Notamacropus eugenii: one gene and its partners. Each later gene encodes a partner of the first gene's protein in a complex. Links are inferred from orthologs where the notes say so. Each region holds a gene or a part of one and is shown in the gene's direction. Other genes may lie near its edges.

Evidence for each region.
Region 2: the proteins of TLN1 (region 1) and PIP5K1C are in contact, whole or in part, in a crystal structure (PDB 1Y19), measured with the Mus musculus proteins. The link is inferred for Notamacropus eugenii from reciprocal best matches to the Homo sapiens genes TLN1 and PIP5K1C. Residues at the interface, in NP_035732.2 of Mus musculus: Pro209, Val210, Gln211, Leu212, Leu214; in NP_032870.2 of Mus musculus: Pro646, Leu647, His648, Tyr649, Ser650, Ala651.
Region 3: the proteins of TLN1 (region 1) and APBB1IP are in contact, whole or in part, in a crystal structure (PDB 4W8P), measured with the Mus musculus proteins. The link is inferred for Notamacropus eugenii from reciprocal best matches to the Homo sapiens genes TLN1 and APBB1IP. Residues at the interface, in NP_035732.2 of Mus musculus: Leu1492, Ala1495, Thr1496, Val1498, Ala1499, Thr1502, Ser1503, Cys1506, Asn1507, Arg1510, Val1526, Ala1529, Lys1530, Ala1533, Asn1534, Thr1536, Ala1537, Val1540, Ile1543, Lys1544, Asp1547; in NP_062329.2 of Mus musculus: Asn5, Ile8, Asp9, Met11, Phe12, Thr14, Leu15, Glu18, Met19, Leu21, Leu22, Ser25.

The regions. Positions count from the first base shown.
Region 1 is NC_092872.1:79,292,727-79,300,376, reverse strand, and holds the start of TLN1 (talin-1), read left to right. Parts: upstream 1-4,577; 5' UTR 4,578-4,627; intron 4,628-4,908; exon of another isoform or gene 4,909-5,470; intron 5,471-5,601; exon of another isoform or gene 5,602-5,722; intron 5,723-5,744; exon of another isoform or gene 5,745-5,767; intron 5,768-7,650. Other genes in the region: CREB3 (cyclic AMP-responsive element-binding protein 3), read right to left, coding at 41-109, 215-321, 2,859-2,951, 3,126-3,196, 3,336-3,504, 3,647-3,784, 3,889-3,939. UniProt on the Homo sapiens protein: High molecular weight cytoskeletal protein concentrated at regions of cell-matrix and cell-cell contacts. Involved in connections of major cytoskeletal structures to the plasma membrane.
Region 2 is NC_092875.1:54,375,493-54,382,485, forward strand, and holds the start of PIP5K1C (phosphatidylinositol 4-phosphate 5-kinase type-1 gamma), read left to right. Parts: upstream 1-3,967; 5' UTR 3,968-4,162; coding exon 4,163-4,268; intron 4,269-6,993. UniProt on the Homo sapiens protein: Catalyzes the phosphorylation of phosphatidylinositol 4-phosphate (PtdIns(4)P/PI4P) to form phosphatidylinositol 4,5-bisphosphate (PtdIns(4,5)P2/PIP2), a lipid second messenger that regulates several cellular processes such as signal transduction, vesicle trafficking, actin cytoskeleton dynamics, cell adhesion, and cell motility.
Region 3 is NC_092874.1:67,270,484-67,277,974, forward strand, and holds the start of APBB1IP (amyloid beta A4 precursor protein-binding family B member 1-interacting protein), read left to right. Parts: upstream 1-4,399; 5' UTR 4,400-4,604; exon of another isoform or gene 4,605-4,926; intron 4,927-7,491. UniProt on the Homo sapiens protein: Appears to function in the signal transduction from Ras activation to actin cytoskeletal remodeling. Suppresses insulin-induced promoter activities through AP1 and SRE. Mediates Rap1-induced adhesion.

The DNA.
Region 1 (7,650 bases):
ATAAGGCAACTGAGGCACCAATTGTTCTGTGGTTACTTACAAATTCTGCTTCTCCAAGAGCTGCACTTTCTTCTGTAACTCCAGGTTCTGGGCTGTGCAAGCCAAGACCCTGGAATAACCATGGAAACAGCATGTCCTCAGTCATCTCCCCCTTTTAATATGACATCCCCTCCCCATCCATCCTCTTCTCTCCTTTCCCCAGCCCCTGACATACCTACTTTCTAGCCCTCCCACATACACTTTCTTCTTCCTTCTACTTTCTTGAGCAGATTGTTTGTTCCGAATCTTTCTCCGAACTTGTTTCAAGGCTCGCTCCTCTGCCTGAGTCAGAGATTGGAACAAGGAAGGAGAGAATCCATCAGTAACAGAATTTTGGTCTTGAAAAGTAATTCAGATATGACTTAGTTCAACTCAACCGGTGTAGGAATCCCTAATCATCTAAACCTTTGCTCTAATGCTTTGTCTAGTGTTTAAAAAAAACAAAAAAAAAAACCTCTACCTCAAAACTCTTTCAACTGTCATTAAGCCAAAAATCTAACAATGTAAAAAACTCTGCCTCCTTTTAATTTCTATCCACCAGTCTCAGTTCTGAGTTTTGGGACTACATAGGATAAGAATTGTTCTATGTGAGTTATCTTCAGACATCTTAAAATAATCAAATCTCATTTCCAGACTATAAACCTCTTTAAATGTTCTCATGACATGGTTTCCATGTCACCTTATTGATTTTGTACTCATTCATGTCTTTAAAATATGGCATCCAGAACTGAACATAATATTCCATAAAGCCTAGCATAAGAAAGGTTTACATTGGGGCGGGGAACCTGTAGCCTCTAGGCCACATGTGGTCTACTTGGTCTTTAGGTGCAGCATTTTGACAGAGTCCGAGTTTCACAGAACAAATCCTTTTATTAAGGGGATTTGTTTTGTGAAGTTTGAATTCAGTCAAAGGGCTGCACTTGAGGACCTAGGGAGCTTGAGGCCAGAGGTTCCTCACCCCTGGTTTACATCATCTATTTAAGCTCCTACCTGAAGCACAGATTTTCTCTGCCACACTCCGAATAAATGGGACATCCAATCTTTGAAGACATGACAGGACATACTAACTCTCAAAGCAGCTTGTACTACATTTGGACAATATACCATTAGAAAGTTCTTAACTTAAATCAGAATCTGGTAAATGTCATCTGTTGGTTTAATTCTATTGCCTGGGACCAAGAACAAAAAAGAATCCCTCCAGCTAATGACTGTCCAAATGTGTAAAGACAAGCTGTTATTCATCTATACACACACCAGCTTCCCAATGGCCTTCCTAAACTATGGTTCTTAGATCTGAAGATGATGTCTTCTAAATGTGCCCTGGTCAGGGCAAAAGGACATGAGGACTAATAATGCAACTTTGGATCACTGGCTTTTTTTTTTCTGATTTGTCACACTTTTGACTTACATTGAGCTTGCTAAAATACCCAAGTCCTTTTCACGTAAACTACTATTTTATGTCAGAGGCCTATTCATTGAATGGGTGTATCTCACTCAGAGTGAGAATGTGATAAGACCTTGGCTTAAAAAGGTCAAGGTCTCACACTGCATTCTGAGCCATCTCCAGTCATCCTGATGAATATCTGGTCACTGGACCCAGATGACTCAGGAGAAGAAAGTGAGGCTGGTGACCTTGCCCAGCCCTCCCTCACTCAAATCAAAGTCAAGTGCAAGTCATGTCATCATCTTGATGTCATGGTCCTCTTTGAGAACGAAGGACAAACAACTATTTTATATATCTCCCATCCTAAATTCACGAGGTTGATTTCTTTGAGCCCAAGTGTAAGACTACATTTATTTCTATTAAATTTCATCATCTTAAACTAGGCCTGCTGAAACTATTTAGGTTATTGATCTAAAGACTAGCCCCCTGCTAATAATATTAGCTATCCCTCCATCACTGAAAATTTTGTCAAGAGGTCATCTGTGCCTTCACGATATTGAACAAAAAGGCCAAGGAGACAGCATCCGAGCACTCCACTGGAGTTTTCCCTCCAAGCTGAGTTCATTCCAAATTTACCTATCTGTACTATTGTATCTGGTTCTATCTCCCCACCTTATCTAAAAGGCTATCAAATGCCATGCTGAAATCTAGATATCGTGTCCAAATCATTATTCTGATCTACCCATCAAAGGAAATGAGTCTAGTCTGGTCATCATATTCTTAATAAACCCATAATGACTCAGCCTAACCATGGGATTTTTCCATCTGACTAGCAGCTGAAAGCTTCCGTATGTGTTGTCTCCTCTATTCAAAAGGTGAATTTCTCGAAAGCAGGGGCCATCTTCCATTTGTACCTCCAGCACTTATTTAATCATTCTTTCATTCATACGTACTGATCATCACTTTTAGATTCAGTTTAACAGCAAATGCTATAGCCACCCTATTCATCAACAAGCATTTATAAAGTGTTCACTATGCTCCAGGCGCTGTGCTTCCTTTTGGAGGATACTATACTTTTATTAATGCTTCCCAGAATGTCTTAGTTTTTTTTTTAGAAACCACTTCACCGTGCTGTTTCATATTGAAGCAATCAGCTAAAATCATCAAGTCTTTTTCACAGCAATTGTTAAGAAACATCTCCCCCTTTCCTATATTTGTGCAATTGTCCTCTTGAACTTACTTGGAGTTGCCATTTCTAAGTTTAATCATATTAGCTTGGGCACGTTGTTTCTGTTGAGGTATTTTGAAATGTGATTCGGACATCTGGAACATTAGCTATCCCAGGTTTGTTGCCCATAAATTTGAAAAGCAGACCTTTTATGGCCATCCTCAAATGGTACCAGGCATGATACCCGTGACCATGAAGGAGTCTCACCTTAGTAAGGGGGAGAGTCTCAGGAAGGGTCAACCCTTCTTTCTGTAGCAGCCTCTTCTCTTCATCTGTCAGTATCAACTGAGGAAACTCGTGCTGGAGAAAACAGGAAAATGACATGTGACAGGGAGGGACCAAGGAGTAAATAAAGTGGGAAGAAGACATCTGGAGCTTGAGGAGAGAGAAGTGTGGGGTTGATCAAAGCATCCTGATATTATCAGAGGTGATCATCTCCCCCTTACTATTAATGTTTGCCCCTCCTCCAGATACCTGCAGTGTCATTTCTTCCATCTGCAAGGAGACCCTTGATTCTTGAGCCACATCTCTGAGACCATCATCATCTGCAGGAGGAAAATAATTAGAACCAAGAGCCCTGGGCTCCTAGTTTCATCCCCCTTTCCATGTCCCTCCCTCAGAATCCTCTTTCTGCCTTCCCAGTCACTACCTACCCGCATACATGATTCCCCTTTCCCAGCTTACCCAGGTCAATGTAGACATCATCTTGGGAGGAACCTTGTACATTCCAGCTCAGAGAGTAAGTGTGATCAGTGTGAATGAAGCTGTAGCTAGGAGGACTTGGGAGGGATGGTGAGGTGGGGGGTCCCAGCAGAGACATCAGGAATTCTTCTGCTTCCCACTCATTCAGCACCTATACAGCCACTTAGTTCAGAAGCAGGCCTTGCTCCTCTCCTCCCAGCTTCCTGTCCCAACTCTCCTTGGAATCTCTCCTCTTCATTTATAGCACCACCATTACCCCAACCAAGGCTAAGCCTGGCCCAGCCCCTACTCACCTCAGGAGGCAGCATCCCATCATCCTGCTGGTCCTCTTCCCTCTCCCCAAGGATTTCCCATAGATCTCCCCCTTCCTCCTTCAGGAAATCCAGCAGGTCGTTGTCACCTGGGTCCAGGACAGGCTCCATGGTGGACATCTAGAAGAAGGAGAAGGAATCACCATCCGCATCCTGATCCTCTTTTCCCCTCCAAAGGGTAGAAGGTGAAAGGCGGTCAGTCAACATTCATATTAAGCCCTTACAATATGCCGAGCACAGAGAATACAAAGAAAAGCAAAAGCCGTCCCTGCCATGGAGGAGCTCTGTCTGTTCTCTCCGGCCCCCCATCATAGAGCCCCAGAGGGGGGACGTTGGAAGCAGAGGGCCAGGGTCGGCCCGGCCCTGCCCCGGCCCCAGCCCCCCCCCCCCACACACACACACCCCGCCCCCCAAAGCAGAGAGCACCGGCACGCCCTCCCACCTACCCTGGAGGGCTGGAATGGCCACTTCTCCGCCTCCTCGGCCAGGTTTCCAACCCCACCCCTCGTCTGCTCCCTTCCACCTCTACGCGAACTGGCCAAATTTGGGGTTCTACTTCCCCTCGGGCCGTCTCTCCCCAGCCCGGACAGCCTCTCCCAAACCCGACCCAGCTCCAGCCTTCCAACACCACAAAAATGACGTCAGCCAGAAGGCCGCGGCATGCTGGGAGATGTAGTTCCCCCACGCCCGCCCGGATGTAGCCCGCACTCCGACTGCTGTCATGTATCCCCGAGCCTCGTACCCCTCGCCAGGCTTTCCGTTCCTGAGGTCGATCGGTCCCGCTCTGTGCACACGCAATGAGTTTTCTTTGTTCGTTTAGGTTTTATTGATGCCTTTCGTTTCCTGACAGCCACCAGCCCCCTCCATTGAACACAGGCGGGGAGCAAACACCACGTTCCGCACCCGTGGCCCCTCACCTCTGCACCAACAGAAAGTGCGGTCGCGACGTGAATCGGCGGTCAGGTACTTTCGAGGTGGTTTACAAAGGTGTGAGTGACGACGTGTTCGCTGTCCCCGTGACCACCCACGCACGCCCTTCGCAGACCGCTGAGAGCGCCCCTCCCTGCCTCTGTCACACACACACAGGGGCTTCCCGCTGGCCTCCCTGTCCGCGCGTGTCCCCAACTTTCCCGAGCCCACGCGAAGGGCGTGAGCGACCCCCACGAGCATCAGAGGGCAGGCGGGGCCCTTCCCTGGGGCGGAGGGCGGAAGGGGGAGCTCCCGGGTCTGCTGGGGAGACTCACACATGACACATGCCCTGCAGACGGAGGGGCTCGGTCAGGCCGGGAAGTCTCGGGGAAACAGGTGGGTCCGCTTTCGTCCGCCGGGCTCTCCGCGGGTCTGGGGCTGAGGAGGGGGCGAGAGGCGGGCTTCCCGCGGGGCGCGCCTCCCGGGCCCCGCCCCCCCGCCAGGGAGGCCCCGCCCCCCCGCCAGAGCAGCCCGCAGCACAGCGAGACGGGGCGGAGTGCGCCTCGGGTCCGCTAGGCTGCGCGCGGTAACGGAGCCGCGGCCCGCGCCGCGCATGCGCCGCCCTCGCTGCAGGGGAAGTTGCCCGGGTCTCCGGGCCGGCTCCCAGGCATAGAGAGCGGGGGCCAGAGCAGCTTCCTGCAGCAGCCAGGGCCGTAGAGGGGCGGGCCCAGGGCGCCGCCCACGGGTGGGGGGGACGCGCTCCGGGGACGGAAGTGGCGGAGAGTTCGTCAGTCGGCGGGAGGGCGAGGCCGGACCCCGGACCCGGGAACCTGGAGAGCGAACGAGTGAGTGACCTGGAGGGCGGGCCAACGAGCGAGAGGTCCCCGCACGGCCCAGGTAGGGCCGAGGCGGTGCCGAGCGCGGGGCGGGACCAGGAAGGACGGGACGGCGGCGGGAAGGGGCAGGGCCGGGCGGGGGGAGGGGACTGGATCCGGGGGAGGGGGCCCGGCCGCGGCGGAGGGTGGGGGGGGGGAGGGGGAGGGGGGAAGGCAGGGGTCGAGCGGAGGCCGCAGCCTCGGTCCGCAGCCAGGGCGGTCAGGGTGGGCGCCGCCGCCGGCTCCCTCCTTGGCCCGAGAGGTCAGGGTCCGGGTGTGTCCATCCTGCTTGTCCAGCTGCTTGGCGGGCGGAGTTGTGGTACCCGGGATGCTGGGGGGCGACAGTTATGGGGTAGCGGGGCGAGGCTGACGGGCCTGGGCTGTAAAGCTGGGGTTCGGGAATAGGGGGGAGCGGATCGTGGGGACGGGGGAGGTGAGGCGGGCCAGGACGGGGGACCCGGCTGGGCTTAGCGGGGTGGGGTGGGGCAGATCGGGAGGGCTCCAAGGCCGGGTGGGAGGGTGTTCGCTGGTCCGGGCTGCGGGGTCCGGAGCCGGGATGGCGTGCCTGGGTTTGGCGTTGGCCGGGTAGGTTCGGAGATGCAGGCTCAGGTGCGCCCCAGGTTTGGGGGAAGTTCGAGTTAAATGGGGTTGGAATTTGGAGCCGAGTATCCGATGGACGTTGGAGGTGTCCTGAGGATAACAGGAGAGATGTGCTGGCCCTTACTGGTTATTGAGATTGTGGGGCGACAAGTATGGAAGCGCTTCTTCTTGCCGGGTGCTGTGACAAGCCCTGGAGGCACAGAAAAAGGCGAAAACAGCGTCCCCGCCCGAAAGGAGCTCGAAGTATGATAGGGGAGACAGCGTGCAGACGTCTGTGTGCGGGCAAAATAGTGCGGAGTGATGGAGGATAATCTCAGAGCGAGGCATTGTGCAGTGAGAGGGCAAGCAGGTGGGATTTGAGCTGAGGCTTGAAGGAAATCAGGGCAACCTGGTTAAGATTTAGGCTCATGACAAATAGGCAAGCTCTACACTCAGGATTTTTGTTTTTTAGATCACTGTTAGAATACAGAGGGCAAGTTACGGCTAATATTAGGGATAGCATCAGGATTCACAGGTTTGGATAGTCAGGATTAGTTTGTGGGTCAGTGTTGGGGATTGTAGGATCATAGGTTTAGAATTGGAAAGGGTTAGTCAGGAATCAAATTAAAAGTCAGGGGTAGCACTTGAGTTTCGGGTCTGCATTACGGATGAATTTATCTTCCAAGAATCAAATTAGGCTTCAGGGATTAGGAATGGCATTGGTGTTTGTGGAGGGCGGTTAGCCAACCATGAGTCAACTAGCACTTGATAAGTGCTTGCTGTGTGCCAGACTTTGTGCAATGAAAAATACAAAGAAATGCAAAAAAGAAAATCTAGTTCCTGCCCTCAAGGAGCTTACATTCTGAGGAGGAAGCTTCATGAAATAAGTACCTAAAGAAGATATATAGAGTGAGTAGGAAGACCTCTGAGAGGGGAGATTACTAGCAGCTAGGGGAATCTGGAAAGGCCTACACCACAAAATGGAATTTGAGCTGAATTTTGAAGAAAATAGAGAAAACTTAAGAGTTGGAGGTAAGCAGATAGAGCATTCCAGGCTTGGGGAACAACCAGTGAAAAGGCAAGGAAACTGGAGAACAGCTAGGAGACCAGGCTAGCTGCGTGGTAGAGTTCACAGAGAAAAGACTGAAAAGGTAAAAACTCTAAATGCCAAATAGAGTTTAGATTTGATCAGGGATCCAAAAATTGGGATCATTGTTAGGATGAAAGGATGTGAGTAAGGGTTAAGGATAGACGTCAGTAGTCAGTGATTGGTTCAGGCATCATTGGTAGGCCATTGGGAATATCTACTAAATAATGATTTTCCACTTAGGGTCAGTGTTTGAAGTCGTTAATGTTAAGGAGATGAGAGTTAAAGGTCAGTGATTTTTTTCAGAGTCAGCATTAGGGTTCAGGAATTGGGTTGAATGTTTTGGTTAGTCATAGGTTAGCATTAGATTTAAATGGTTAGGAATCAGAAAGAGAGTTAGCTATTTGGACTAGGCTAGAAATAAGTCCAAAGGTTTAGGATTAAGGGTCAGGGTAAGAGTGAGTCAATGATCAGATCAGAATCAGTATTGAAGTTCAGGGATTAAATTCTGAACTCAGGCTTAGGATCATGGTCAG
Region 2 (6,993 bases), on another chromosome or scaffold:
GAACTGAGCCAAACTTATAAAAGAGCCATTCCCCAACTTATATATGGTCAAAGGATATGAGCAGTCAGTTTTCAGAAGAAGAAATCAAAACTATCAATAGCCACATGAAAAAATGTTCTAAATCACTGCAGATTAGAGAAATGCAAAACGAAACAACTTTGAGCTACCATATCTATCAGATTAGCTGACATCAGAAAAGAAAAATGATAAATGCTGGAGGGGATGTGGAAAAATGTGTACTATAGTGCACTGCTGGTGGAGTTGTAAAATGGTCTAATTATTCTAAAGAACAATTTGGAACTATGCACAAAGGGCTATAAAACTGTTCATACCCTTTGACCCAGGAATAGCACTATTAGATCTGTATCCCAAGGAAATCAAAGAAAAGGAAAAAAGACCCTATGTGTACAGAAATATTTATAGTAGCTCTTTTTTGTGGTGGTAAAGAATTGGAAATTGAGGGGATGCCCATCATTTGGGAAACGGTTGAACAAGTTGTGGTACATGATTTCAATGGAATACCCTTGTGCTATAAGAAATGACAAGCAAGAAGCTTTCAGAAAAACCTGGGAAGACTTACATGAGCTAATGCAAAGTGAAATGAGCAAAACTCAGAGAATATTGTAAATAGGAATAGCAATATTGTAACAAATGCGAAAGATTTAGCTACTCTGATCAATACAATAATCTAAGACAATTCCAAAGGATTCATGATGGAAAAAGTTGTTCTCCTCCAGAAAGAGATCTGATGAACTGAGTGTAGATTGAAGAATATTTTTCACTCTTTTTCTTGCTTTTTATTTATTTGCAATATGGCTAATATGGTTTTGCATGATTTCACATACATAATTGCTATCCTTGCTTGACTTTTCCATGGGTAGAGTAAGAGAGGGAGGGAGAGAATCTGGAATTTTGGAACATTTTTTTTTAATGAATGTTAAAAATAAAGATGATCAATTTGACAGCTGAGTGAAGGATGAATTGGAGTGGGGAGAGACTTGAGGCAGAGAGATAAACCAAAAGGGTATTTCCATAGTTCAGGTATGAGATTATGAATTCCTTCACAAGCGTAGTGGCAGTATCAGAGGGAAGAAGGGTGTAGAGTATAAGAGTTGTTGTATTGCGTTCAGTGTTATTCCCATAGGTCACTCCTCAGAACATGACACTGCACTGGCTGTAAAACCTAGCCTGGACTCAGACTTCTAGAGTCTGGTGGCTTCCTCTTCTGATCTTTTGAAACTCCCAGTCTTGGAGACTCTTTTTGCTTCATCAGACTCAATGGGTGGAGCCACTCCACCAAGATAATAGCCAAAAAGTCTGAAGTAGAGGGATGACTGAAGCCACGATCAAAAAAAATCCCATTCACTAAGTGGTTAGCTGACCAGAACTAGTTCTAGGATCATGCATGAGCCACTGCCCCTCCACGACACTTCCCCTACAAGTCATCAGGCCTCTCTCCAGCATTGTCCACATGGATAGCAGAGTAAACTTTTGAGGTCTGTGAATATTCCAGACTCTTGTTAAACAAAAATACTTGTAAGATCTAGGTTGGAAGGATCCTCAGTGATCACACAGTCCAAACTCATTTCATCGTATCCAAGATCACAGAGCTAACAAGTAGCAGGTTGAGCCCTGGGTTGTCCAACATTTTTATCCATGACTTGGACAAAGACACTGATGGCATGCTTCTCAAATGTACAGATGACACAAAGCTGAAATAGATAACACATGTCAGGATCCCAAAAGATCCTGCTGGGCCAGAATGCTGAGCTGAATCTAATTGCTTCTCAGTCTATTTGGGTCTTAATCTCGCTATGACCTACTAGAGTCTTTTTCTAGAGTTCTTTTATTATCTTTTTCTCGTTTCTTTTACATTTCTCACCATCTAATTGTACATCCTGCTCAAGACCTTCCACTGACCACCTCCATATGTGATCAAAGACCTCTGCCAGAGGTCTCCTGCTTCCTTATCTGACATCCATTCTCTTTAGTGGTTCTCTACTGATCTCTTGGGCAGTTCCTTCCTTGCTTTACCTCTCTTTTTACCTTACTATATAGGTAAATTGCTTATTTTATTCAGAACATGGCCTCAATAATCCTAGATTACACTTAAAAAAAATACCTAGCACCTAGAATTTTTAGTACTTTACTTCAGTTTCAGGAACTTCTTCCTTCCTTCTTTCTTTCCTTCCTTCCTTCCACTTATTTATTATTCAAAATCTAGTTCAAATGATAGTTGCTTTTTCTCCCTTTGCCCCTGATTCTTTTTTCATAAGGAATCTTCCTTTATGGTGCTCACAAATTAAGTTGTGCCTAGTTCTAGATTTTATCTCATTTTTTTCCTTCTTTACTCCCCTACTTTAAAAAAAATCAATTTCATTTATTTATAGTTTTACCTATTACTATATCCCTATACATATAGATACATATACACTCAGTGTAGAGATTAAGATTAAGTAATTATTATGTAACAAAGATTAAGAGAAGATAAGGATAGGGTTTTTTTTGTGGGACAAAGGTAGAGCTAGACTGGAATATGGATTCAAGTTTAGAATAGGCCTACTGAAAGGAATGGTATGTCCTTTTAGGATCAAGGCAAGGGATCAGTGTTGAGTTTTAGAGAAAGTAATAGGATTCAGAAATTTGTATGGTTTAGGGTTAAGTACATAAGTTTAAGTAAATTGATAGAAAGATATATTAATATTAGAGAGTGATAATTTTAATATCCTAGAATTAGGTTTTAGGAATAATTTGAGAAATATTTTAAGAATACAATCAATTCAATTGAAAAGACAATTTCCTAAATGTCAACGTGAAGTCATATGCTTGCATTTTTAAAAATAATCTTTGTAGGGAGGCATGGTTAGACAGAAATACATCTGAAAAAAGACAGGGAGGAGGGGGTTCAGTTAATTGAGAGTTCCATATGTGAGTCGAATGGCAGCCAAAAAATAAAAATCTGACTTTAGACTGCAAATAAAAAAGGTCTACCATTCAGGACTAGTCAGTGACAATGTCTCTGGGTTATACCAAGATCGGACCACCTCAGGAGTATCATGTATAACCTGGCCACATCCTTTTAGAAAGTCACTTGAAGGACATCTAGAGAAAAGCAAATAGGATGGTGACCTTCATGCCATGATGACTACCTGAAGGAACTAGGGTCCTTTATCCTAGAGAAGACTCCCCAGAGGACCAAGTCTGGACCAAGCTGCCTTCAAGTACCTGAAGAGCTAGCTGTCACATGGAGGAGACGTTGGGCTTGCTTCTAGAAGCGGGGATGGAAGTGGGAAGGAGAAAGGAGCATGCTTGATGTCCACAGCTTAAAGAAAGGCAATGAGCTGCCCCTGGATGTAGTGGTCCCCTGTGCTTGGAGCTCCAATTTGGCTTCTGACCATCACTAGCTGTGTGACCCTGGGCAAGTCGTATGACTTCTCTCTGCCTCAACTTCCTCTTCTGTAAAACGGAGATGAGAACACCTCCCTCCCTCCCAAGGTGGCTGTGTTGATAAGGAGGAGATGGGACCTGTGAAAAGCTTTGAAAACTTCAAAGCGCTGTCAAGCAGAAAGCAGCAGTTTGCACTACTTAATTCACAAGCTTTGCCAGCCAGCACCGAGCCTTTGGGGTCGCCGCGTGGAAGCGCTGGTTATCTTCATCACCGTCATCATTCGTAGGATGATGATGGTACCTGGGTGGCATGTGTTGGGGACGTGGGGGACTCGGGCTCCTTCCCACGCCCGCCTCCTGGACCGCCTGGGTCACTCGGTACGACCCTGCGGCTGCCCTTCCACCAGCTCGCCCCGGGGAGGCGCTCTCCCAGCCTCGGCGTGAAGACGTCAACCCGCCCCCTCCCCACTCCCAATCTCTTCCCCGGTTGGCAGGGAGAGAGGGCGCGTGACCAGGCACGGCCGTGGCCCCGCCCCCTCCCTCCCCACTCCCTCTCTTCCCCCCTCCCATCCCTTCCCTCCCTTCCCTCCCTCCCCCTTCCCCCGTCGCTCCCTCCCTCTCCCCTTGTCAGTCCGGACTCTCCCTCCCGGCGGTTGTTGTTCCGCGGCGGCGGCGGCGGCGGCGGCAGCTCCCTTCCCTCAGCCGAGGAGCCGGCTGGGCCTGGCGGGGCTTTCCCCCCGCCGGCCCCCGCCTCGCCTCGGGCCCGTCAGCGGCGATGGAGCTGGAGGTGCCGGACGAGGCGGAGAGAGCCGAGGCGGGGGCCGTTCCTCCGGAGGCAGGATGGGCTGTGGAGAGCGGGGCGGCGGCGCCCTCGGCGACAGGTAACGGTCTCCGGCTCCTCGCCCTCCTCGCTCCCCTCCCCCCCGCCCGCCTCGGTGGTGCCGGCCGCCCCTTCGCACCCCCCCGCCCCCGTCCCGATGGTGCCGGCCGCCCCCTCGCGCGCCCCCCCGCCCCCGCCCTGATGGTGCGGGCCGCCCCTTCGCTCCCCGCCCAGCCCTCCCGGATGGAGCCGGCCGCCGCCTCGACCCCCCGACCCCATCCTGGCTGCTTCACCGAACCGGCCCTTGGGTCCAGAAAGCCGGGAGCTCTTGGGGACCCGAGCCTTCGCTTCCTCTCCGCCGCGGGGGGCTGCAGGCAGTGCCCCATTTCCCAGTGTTGCCGGTGGGGGTGGGCAGGAAAAAGGGAGATTCCGGCCTCTTTTTCCCCACCCGAGGCTCAATGGGATGGAACTGACCGAGGCATCACCCCGTGACTTCCCCTCCCTGCCGGCCCCACGGCGGAACCGCCCCTCCCCGGGTGGGTGTTCCTCTCGGTCCTCAGCCTTCCCTTCCCGACCGGTCCCCCTGGGGTCCTGACATGCCAGTGCTCCTCGGGGAGAGGACGGGGAGCCGGAGCGGGTGGGGACCGGGGGCACCCGAGGGCAAGGAACCTTCCGGGTCATTTAGTCCAGGCCCCTGTCTCTGTCACCTTTTTGGCCAGCGCAGACGGATGGAGAGCAGGAGGCTTGTGTTCCAGATCCTTCCCTGCTTCTTGGCCCACTGCTTGGCCGAGAGCGGGCAAATCGCTTTATCTCTGGACCAGTTTTCTCCATCCATAAAATAGGCTTAATAATACTTACATCGCCTGTCACAGACAGGGCTGATGTGAGAAAAGCACTTTGTAAACCTTTGAAAAGCAGGGTGAGTTGCTAGCCCTTGTGGGCCTTCGCTTCCCGTCTGTAAAATGAGGGTGATGGGGAGCAGTTTCTAGATTAGAATATCCCAAAATCCCTTCTAGGGCTAAGAATTGGTTGAGGGGTAGGTAGGGAATTCTTACCTCCTAGTATTGCTTAAACTCCAGCCACTACTCCCAATGCACCCTTTATCTCCTCAAGCTTAATGTGAGGGATGCAGCTGGCATTATGCGTAGGAGAGAGAAGGGGAGAGAGAACCTATTTATCCATCCCCTGGCTGCTGATCTTTCCTACGGTGAATGGGGTGGTGGGTGAAGGTAGGATCCTGCCTTCTTCCTCAAGGGAAGATAGGCAGGAGTTTTGCAGAGGGAGTCTTACTTCCTGATGAAGTAGCTGAGATCTGAAGCTTTGGAATAGGAAAATTCTGGATTTCTGGAAGCCCCTCCCAAAGAAACCTCTTTTAGTCATCTTCTTTCCACGTTTAGTGACTCTCAAAATAAAGACAGTATATCTCATTTTCTCAAATAGTAATTGACCAATAGGGTTGGACTGTTGTTATGCCTGCAAGTTACGAAAATGTAGGGGACTCAAAAGATATGGGCAGTCATATTTCTTCCACAGTGTTCACCCCGTTGAAATATTTGTTTACTTGGAAAATGAACTAGTTTAGTTTTGAAGTGAAAAGATTTCTGGAATTGGACTGAGACCTGGGTTTGAATCAATATTCTCCTTTTTTGCTGAGCCTTAGTTGTGCTGTCTGTAATATGGGATTGGTATTTACCCAAAGTCATTTTGCTTTGTAAATCTTGGAGTGATATAGAAATGTAAATTGTTATTGTTAATCTGCTAAAAAAAAAAAAAAGTGTGTGACAGCTCATAAGGGCCCCACAAGACGTTCCTTGCTTGCTAGTTTCATTGAACAGTGTGGGCACTAGTCAGGTTGCAAAGCAGTAAGCAAGGTCCTTTCCTTTCCAGGCTTCATCTTCCACCTGTAATTCTTTCTTTGACACAAGCCAGAAAAGCCCAAGTCTTGCCAGGACACTAGAAACTCCATGTTGTTAAACATTTTATCTTAGAAGTTCACAGGGCTTCTGATTGGAAGACTGATAAGATTAAGTACAAGCCCTGACTGTTGAGAAACCTGAAATTAGATAGGCCTGGACCCAAAGATTACATGAACTCGCTAAAATTGAGTTGAATGGGCTGAGTCACTCAGTTCAGGAGGCTTTTACTGTTCCCTGAGTCTGACCTGGGAAGGAGCTTTCTCTAAGGAGATGCTGTTTCTCAGGGTTATGGTACCGGGGTGATTGGAGGATTATTCAGGCTGATGGATTTGGGGAGGGAGGAGACATGATGCTCAGAATTGTTGGTGGATTTAAAGGCTTTCATGATGAAAATTCCTAGCTCCAAGGAGTTGATTGTGGTTTCCAGGACCACTTAAGGGCCAGCACTGTGGTCAGTGGAGTTCTTCCTTTCTTCTCCCTCCCCGCCCCCAACACACACTGGTGCCCCTTTAATATGCAGGCTGATGACTTCAAAATGTTTTGATCCCTTAGAAAAAGCCACTAGCTAGGTTAGGTCACCTTTACTGACATCCCCCCATACCAACTCTCTTGCAAAATCCTTTGTCCAAAGTGCCAGAGCCAGAGAGGGCATCCAGTCCATCCCTGCCTCCATTTTACAGATGGACAATCCCAGTCCCAAGTAAGGGGGAGGGATTTATCTGCTTAAGGTCATACAGCAAATTAGTAGCACTAATGAGACTAGAATTCAGGTTTTCTGGGTCCAGTGAACCTTCCATTACACCAGAATGCCTTTTTAGAGGTTATTTCATACATTCAGAAAGAATTTCTTTCCCAAGCCCCATGCCAGGG
Region 3 (7,491 bases), on another chromosome or scaffold:
TACCTATAATATTCTTTCAAGATTAATCTGCATTATCATTTCCTCCATGACTTTCTGAAGTCTAATCAATCAACAAAACAATAAATCTAGTTCTGATTTAAAGTGTTTACAGGTTTCCAGGAGTAAATGCTCAGAATGAAAACCAACAGCAGCCTTTCCTGAGCAAGTTTAAGCTGGCCCCAGTATACTCCTGTCTCTGCTGAGTGAGAATATCTTTGAATTACAAAATCAATCAAAGACATAAAACAATTGTGAATAGTTCCTAGATAGCATCAGTGAAACACCCAATCAAAGGAATAAATTAGATTCCAACAAAGCAGTTAGTCAAATTGTAAGTGAAGTGTTTCCAATCATTGTAATAAATCAGAAAACATATATTGAGATTGGTGGAATAAAATTAGATACACACCTATGCCATATCTGTTAGGAAAGAAGATTCCATTCGGGTCAATGCAATAAGTGCTTTGAGAAATTAGAACCTTGGGGGCTCATGAGCAATGATATTAAGAAACAACCCCCTCATAGTTATTCCTAGAACCCTTAGAGGATAAGCAGTGGTCCATCTTCTGGGGATCCAACCTTCCAGTTTGAGTGGGAGTGAAGCAGGAAGTCGTACTAAACAAAAGTTCTGTTGCTCTGAAATGTATGGGTTATACCAGAGAAGAACTGATACTGAATGCTGCCTTCTGCAATTCTGGATCTGAGATACTCGAATCCTGAAAAGGACTGATCCTGGTTCTAAAATGCTTCACATTCTTCTCCACAGTGGGTTTTCCAAATCTGTCCTGTCAAGACTATCTCCAGACTTGGCCACTATGATTCTGTCTTTTTCCTCTTTTTCCTCTGTCCCTGAGGTTCCTCCTCCCATTGGTAAGTTCCTCACAGAAACTTCATTATGAGGAAGGGCCCTGACCAGCCATCCTTCCTCCTCTAGACTTTGCCACCAGGCCCCAGGTGAGGTCTTCTCCACCTTCTGTCCCCTTTTCAGCTCCTTTCATGTGTTATCTTCTCAAATTAGAATGTAATTGGCTTGAGGGCAAGGACTGAACTTCTCTTTGCATGTATTAGTGTCCCTAGTGCATACTGTTTGTTTTTGTTTGTCCCTCGTTCTTGAAGAGGACCAAGCACATCAGGAAGGTGGTACCATGACACTCAAGTGAATTGGATTCAAGTGAGGAGGCAGCCTCACTTTCTCCTCCAGAGCCATCTGGGTCCAGTGACCAGATACAGATCAGGATGGATGGAGATGGCCCAGGATGCAGTAGGGGACCCTGGTATTTTCCAGTTAAAGTCTTTTCCAGGTCTCATGAGGCAACACGCATTCAGTGATTGAGACTAAATAGAGGCAAGCCCTACTGCATAGCACAGTGGCTGGCACAGAGTAAGTGCTTAATGAATGTTTCTTAATCTGCCTTGATCTTAATCTGCCTTGAAATAAAACAAGGCTACTTTGATGGGGATAGAAGGAGGGGCTCTACCCAGAAGTGGATGAGCACTAAATCCATCAAAGTCTAACCACTCTAACTGGGTATCCTACACATTTGTTTTATCCAGCTCCTGTTGAGACCTCACTGCAACAAGGCAATCTTTTCTTCCTCCTTAATTATCTCACTCCCCACAGGAGTTATTCCAAACATTCTCTTCTCTCAAACCTCCCACACCTTCCCTTCTCCCCCTCTTCTCAGCTGAGGTGCTCTCTCTCATTCAGGTCATTGTTATGAGCTCCCTCTTCTTTCCTTTTCTTCATAACACTGTTTCCCTCAATCTTTGATGAAGTGACCCTTCTTCTGGTCAGGGTCAATTTCTTCACATGAACCCTTGATCCCATCCCTTATTTTTTCCAGAAGACTGTTGCCTTAGCCATCCCTTCTCTTTCCCTATCTTCAGTCTTTTCCTTTCTAGTGGTTCCTTCTGTACTGCTTTAAATTTTGCCCAAAGGAGGAGGAGGAAGACCAGCTAGGAGCACAGGTCCTGTAATCAAGAGAACCTGAGTTCAAATCCAGCCTCAGATACTTATTAACTGTGTGACCCTGGGCAAGTCACTTAACCCAGTTGCCTCCAAAAGACAAAAAACAAAACGTAAAAGAACTTCAAAAGACTCTATAATCCCTTCAAGCTATCATTTATTTCTCTCCATCTTTTCTCAGCCAAATTTCCCAGAAACACTATCTATACTAATTTCTTTCACTTCCTCTTCTTTTACTCCTCAGTTCTTTGCAATCTGGCTTCTGAAGTCATTAATTAACCCAAACTGCTCTCCTTAATGTTACTAAAGACTTCTTAATTACAGATTCTGGTGTGTTTTTTTCTCATTCTTTTGTTTTTTACCTCTCTGACACATTATTAATTACCCTCTCTTCCTAGATACTTTGCTCTGGGTTTTTGTGACATTATTCTCTCTTAGGTTGTCTTCCTACTGGTCTGACCACTTCTCAGTATCCTTTGCGAGCTTGCCATCCATATTAAATACTCTATCTGTGGATACTCCCCAAAGTTCTATCCTGGGGCTTCTCTTCTCTCTCTACATTCTTTCAGTGACTTCAGATACATGCACGAGTCATCTGCAGGAGGATGATAATATATACACATATACATGTATATAATATATACTCACATACATGTATACACATGTATATAATATGTACTCACATACATGTATATGCACATGTATACATGCCTAATTATATATGTCCATACATATATATATACATACATACCTGCATGCATACATATATATTCATGTCTATATCCAGCCACAATCTCTCCTCTGAACTAGCTTCAATTGGGTATCACAGCCTATTGGACACTGGAGACATCTCAAACTCAACAACTCCAAAATAGAACTCGTAACATCCCCTTCAAAAAATTAACTTTCTTCCAGACGTCCCTATTTTTACCAAAGGAACCACCATTCATCCATTCTCCCAGGTGGTACCTTTGGTATCATCCTTGATTCCTCCCTATCTCTCACCCCATGCAGTCAGTCAGTTGTCAAGTCCTTCTATTTCTACCTCCACAACACTTTTTGAATTGTACACTTAGCTAGCAGCATAGCTACTACCTTAGATCAGACCCTTATCAGTTCCCACAAATACTACTGAAATGGCTGCCTCTCCATGGCTGCCATAATGTTATTCCTTAACTGCAGGTTTAACCATGTGCCCCCCAGCCCAATCTAAAGTCTCTATAATTAAATATAAACTCCTTTGTTTGGCTTTTAAAGCCCTTCCCAATCTTTCCCCAAACTTTTGCCAGTCTTACTACCCATAACTCCACCCATAACATCCATTTCAAACTGTTTTTCTCTTGCTGCCATCTCCATGTCTTTCACTGGTCACTTCCTGTGCTTGAAATGCCCTCTTTCCTCACCTTCACCACTTTCTACAGGATGCCTTTCCCAATTTCCCTCCTTGACAACTTTGTATTTAGTCTGCATATTCTTACATATGCTCCTATCTCTTTCTTAATGGAATGTAAGGACCTTCAGAATAAGGATGGTCTCATTCTTTGTATCAGTATCTCCAGTAGCCAGAACAATACTTGGCAGGCAGTGAGCACTTAATAAGCTCTTTTTGATTGATTGATCCAATGACTTCTAAGGTCCCCTTCCTGCTCTAAATTCATGCTCCTACAAGGAACAATGTAAGGAAAAAAATGTTAGAGGTGAGGAGAAAGTTGTTTTAAAAAAAAAATCTCTCTTTGGCTGGGCACACTTTCTGGATGATGTGGGAAGGTCTTGTGCCAAGGGTGAAGAGGTAGGGAGATGGTGCAGACTAATAAGGAGGTCCTTGGAAGGAAGGAGAGGAGGTGGGTGGCTAACAGTCATAGCTAGGGGATAGAGGCTGGACATGGCCTTAGGTAGGCCTAAGCTCAAACACTGCCTTCCTCCCTGCCTCCCACTAACCTGTGACCCTGGGGAATCATTTAAACTCCCACCACCTCCCACTGTATCAAACTGGCATCTGAAAACCTGACTCTGAAAACCTTAAAAGACTGGATAAATACTAGATATTATTAACCTGCCTGCTAGCTGTGGCTGTGGAAGGTGACTACATGATCCAAGGTGGTGCTTGGGACTTGGAATTAGGAAAGACCTGAGTTTAAATCCAGTCTTTTCTTGGCCTCAGTTTCCCCAACTGTAAAATAGGAATAATGGCAGTTATTGCCAGGATCAAATGAGTTAATACGCGTAAAGTGTTTTTGCAAACTTGACAGTTTTATACAAAGGTTAGTTCTTATTATCCTTCGCTTTGGGAGGAATAAGGAGGTATGGGAAGGGGAGCAGACGCTGCAATTTGGGGGGGGGGGTGTCTAACCCCCTACACCCAAGAAAGCTCCGCAGTTTCCGCGTCCCTGGCTGGCTGTCGGGCGGCACTTCTGCTGGGAACTTACTTCAGTGAGACTCCGAAAGAGGAAGCGCCGAGCTCGAGGGCTGCAGGAAACCCAGTAAAGAGCAGAGGAGGTTGCCCAATGACTTCGGAGCACGGATGTGACTTGTCCCCTGCCTCCGCTCCAGGAGCCCGGAGAGTGGACCGGGCCTGAGCGAGGAGCCCCGTTTGCCAGAAAGGGGAACTGTCCAGCCTCGGGCGACCGCAGAGGCCAGGGTAACCGTACTACTCCCCGCACCCCTCAGGCGGAGAAGAGAGAAAGAGGAAGGGCCAGTGTAGATTAAGTGCGCCCCACCTCTGCCGATCCGCTATCCGGCGCTTGGGCTCTGTGCTCGCCGCCCGCGTTTTTACGCACGTGCGAATTTGCCACTTCAAGCCCCCGAAAGGCTCCCGGGGTGGGGGGTGGGACGGGGGGACAGGACTGAGCGACTTCCTCCCGGGAGCCAGCCGCAGACCTCGCAGCCCTAGCTCGCCAGGGGACTAGCTGAATCCTCCGTCCGTCTCAGCGCAGGAGCGACCGCGCCCGAGGCTCGCCAAGGTAAAGCTCCGTGTGAGGCGGGCGCGGGGGTGCCAGGGCGTCTCGGGCTGGGACGCCTGTGCCCCTCACCCCACTCCAGACCCAGGGTGCCCTGGAGAAGAGGCACCCAGCCCCCTTCCATTGGGGTGGGGGACCGCTATCAGCCTCCCCAGGTGCCCCCCGACCTTAGCGCCCCTCTCATTTTCGGGGGATTTCCACGTACGGGGAATTTACTCCTTAAAGAAGTGGGAAAAAAAGGGGCGCCCTTCCGCCATCCTCGCTCTCACTGCACCCGAAACTCGCTCGGGTGCTCGGCGGCCTGGCCCGAGATCTGTTTCACCAAATTTGCACAACTTCCTGCCAAGGAAATTGCTCAAAGTTTCTCCCAGTTTTAACACTGAGAAGCGGCATGAAGGCAGAACAGCCGACCCGTCGGATAAACCTAGAGCTTGTCTGGGAGGGAGCCTTGGGCTGGCTTTCATTCTGGTCTGGACCCTGTTGGCGATCTTAGCTCCACGGATAAGATTCATGGGGGGAGAGAATTGGAGAGATTTTGTGCCTAGGCATTGATTCTTAGCATTTGCCACCAAAGAACCCGAATGGCGCTAAAGACCCAGGTAGCTTTCTCCTGCTAGGATTTCTTCTCCGAATAATCTAATTTTTTTTCTTCTGAAGACCACTTCCTTTGGGCAAATGAGATAACATGTAAAGCCCTTTGCAAATCTTCTATCTTGTTGTTAAAAGCATCATCTTTTTTCCTTTAAGTGCAAAAAAAGTATAATTCAGGAAGTCAGTTGGCAACAGCCCTTTATTGTTAATGAGAATAAATCGTAAGGGTAAATTTTATATTTTACCAATAAGTCAAAAAACTTTAGTACTTTGTATGTTCCAGGCAATCAGCTAAGTCACTGGGGATAGACAAATGAAAATGCTGCAGCTCTTTCCCTCAACGAGTTTGCTTTTTATAGCAACGTCAGCTAACTATCTATCAGGAACTTGAGGCAGGTGGCTCAAGCTTTCCAGTTATGTGCGGTCGAATTGATAGTCTCCCATTGAAACGAATGGTGTGAGGGAGGCACGTGGTTGTGCTCTTTTACACTTTGTATGGTGAAGGTGCCCCCACATCTGCCCACAGTAAAGGAACGAGTCAGAAAAACAAAATTAGACTATTCAGAGAAGTACAGGAGTAACATGGAAACCCAATCCTTATTTAACAGCCATTTGAGTTTCTTGGTGTAGCAACTTTTAAGGCAGTGTCAAGTGTTAAAGGCAAGAGTAAATTTAAATTTGAAGACTTTCTTCAAAAATTTTAGACCATGACTCATTGTGTCACTTATACAATAGACAACTCTATGTTTCTCTGGTAGTTTTACAGTAAGGAAAGGGATTTTGGGGCAGCCTTAGAGATTTGGGGTGAACTTCATACTGATATAGTTTTGGGGAGGTATATATGCCAACTTTGAAAAATGGGGTGTGAGATTTGTTTATTTAATTTGTTTTGACTCAATTAAAATTATTCATTAAAGTATTTTCAAAGAAATTCAAAGATCTCTAGCATTAAAAAAAAATTTTTGTCTCTTAAAACCAAAATGTCACATTCTCTATGGTAAAGACACAAGTATATTGAACTGGGGAATCAGGATACCTGGATGGTCATCGCTCTTTCATCTCTAACTAGCGTGACTTTAGACAAGTCATTTAGACTTTTTAAGCCTTAGGTTTTTGGTTTTCTCCACTGTAAAAAGTTAGAGATCTTTAAAGCCTCTTCAAACTCTGACTGTATTTAGATTACCATATAAAGAATTACTAGTTACCTTACAAACTTAAAGGTCTGCATAACCTCATTCCAGATGGAAAAAATAATGCAAAGAGAAACTGACAAATTTATTGATTCATTTACAGGTCTTTGCTTCTGAGAAGTCCAGAGTATTTTGATAAGTAGTTATTTAGCCCTCAAAGTATATTATATCTCTTGGTTATGAGATGAGCAGGCCTCTATTTAAGAGATGGAACTACTGAGATAAAGAATTGACTTACCCAAGGTTCTGTAGAGAGCCTGTCTTATTAGTTAAGGGAGAGTTTGGTCACAGAGAATAGATTCTAGGTCTCCAGCATGATTATCACTAAAGAAACACAATTTTCTAATGTAGATCCTCTTTTGCTGACAGCTCTGCTTAATCCAAAATTCAGTGTCTAATTTCCTTCCAGTTTATTTGTCTCATTAATATATTTTTGTATTTAGGATGTGTACTATGTTAAAAGACTCCTGTCCTGCCTTTAATTACCCTATTTTTATTTTTGCATTTTTATTTTAATTATTAATTATTCATATGTTTGTGCACTTTGGTTTGTTTCCTGTCTTCTCCATTAGATTGTGAATTTCTTGAGGCCAGGGACTGACTGTCTTTTGCTTCTTTTTGTATCCCCAATATTTAGCACAGTGCCTTGTGCATGGTAGGTGATGAATAAATATCTACTGACTGTATCCATGCAGTTTTAGAAAAAACAACAAATGGCCATAAATGCCTAATTTGTAATTTGACCTCCCATGCTTTTTCCCCAAACCTCTGTACTTTTATTTTTAGT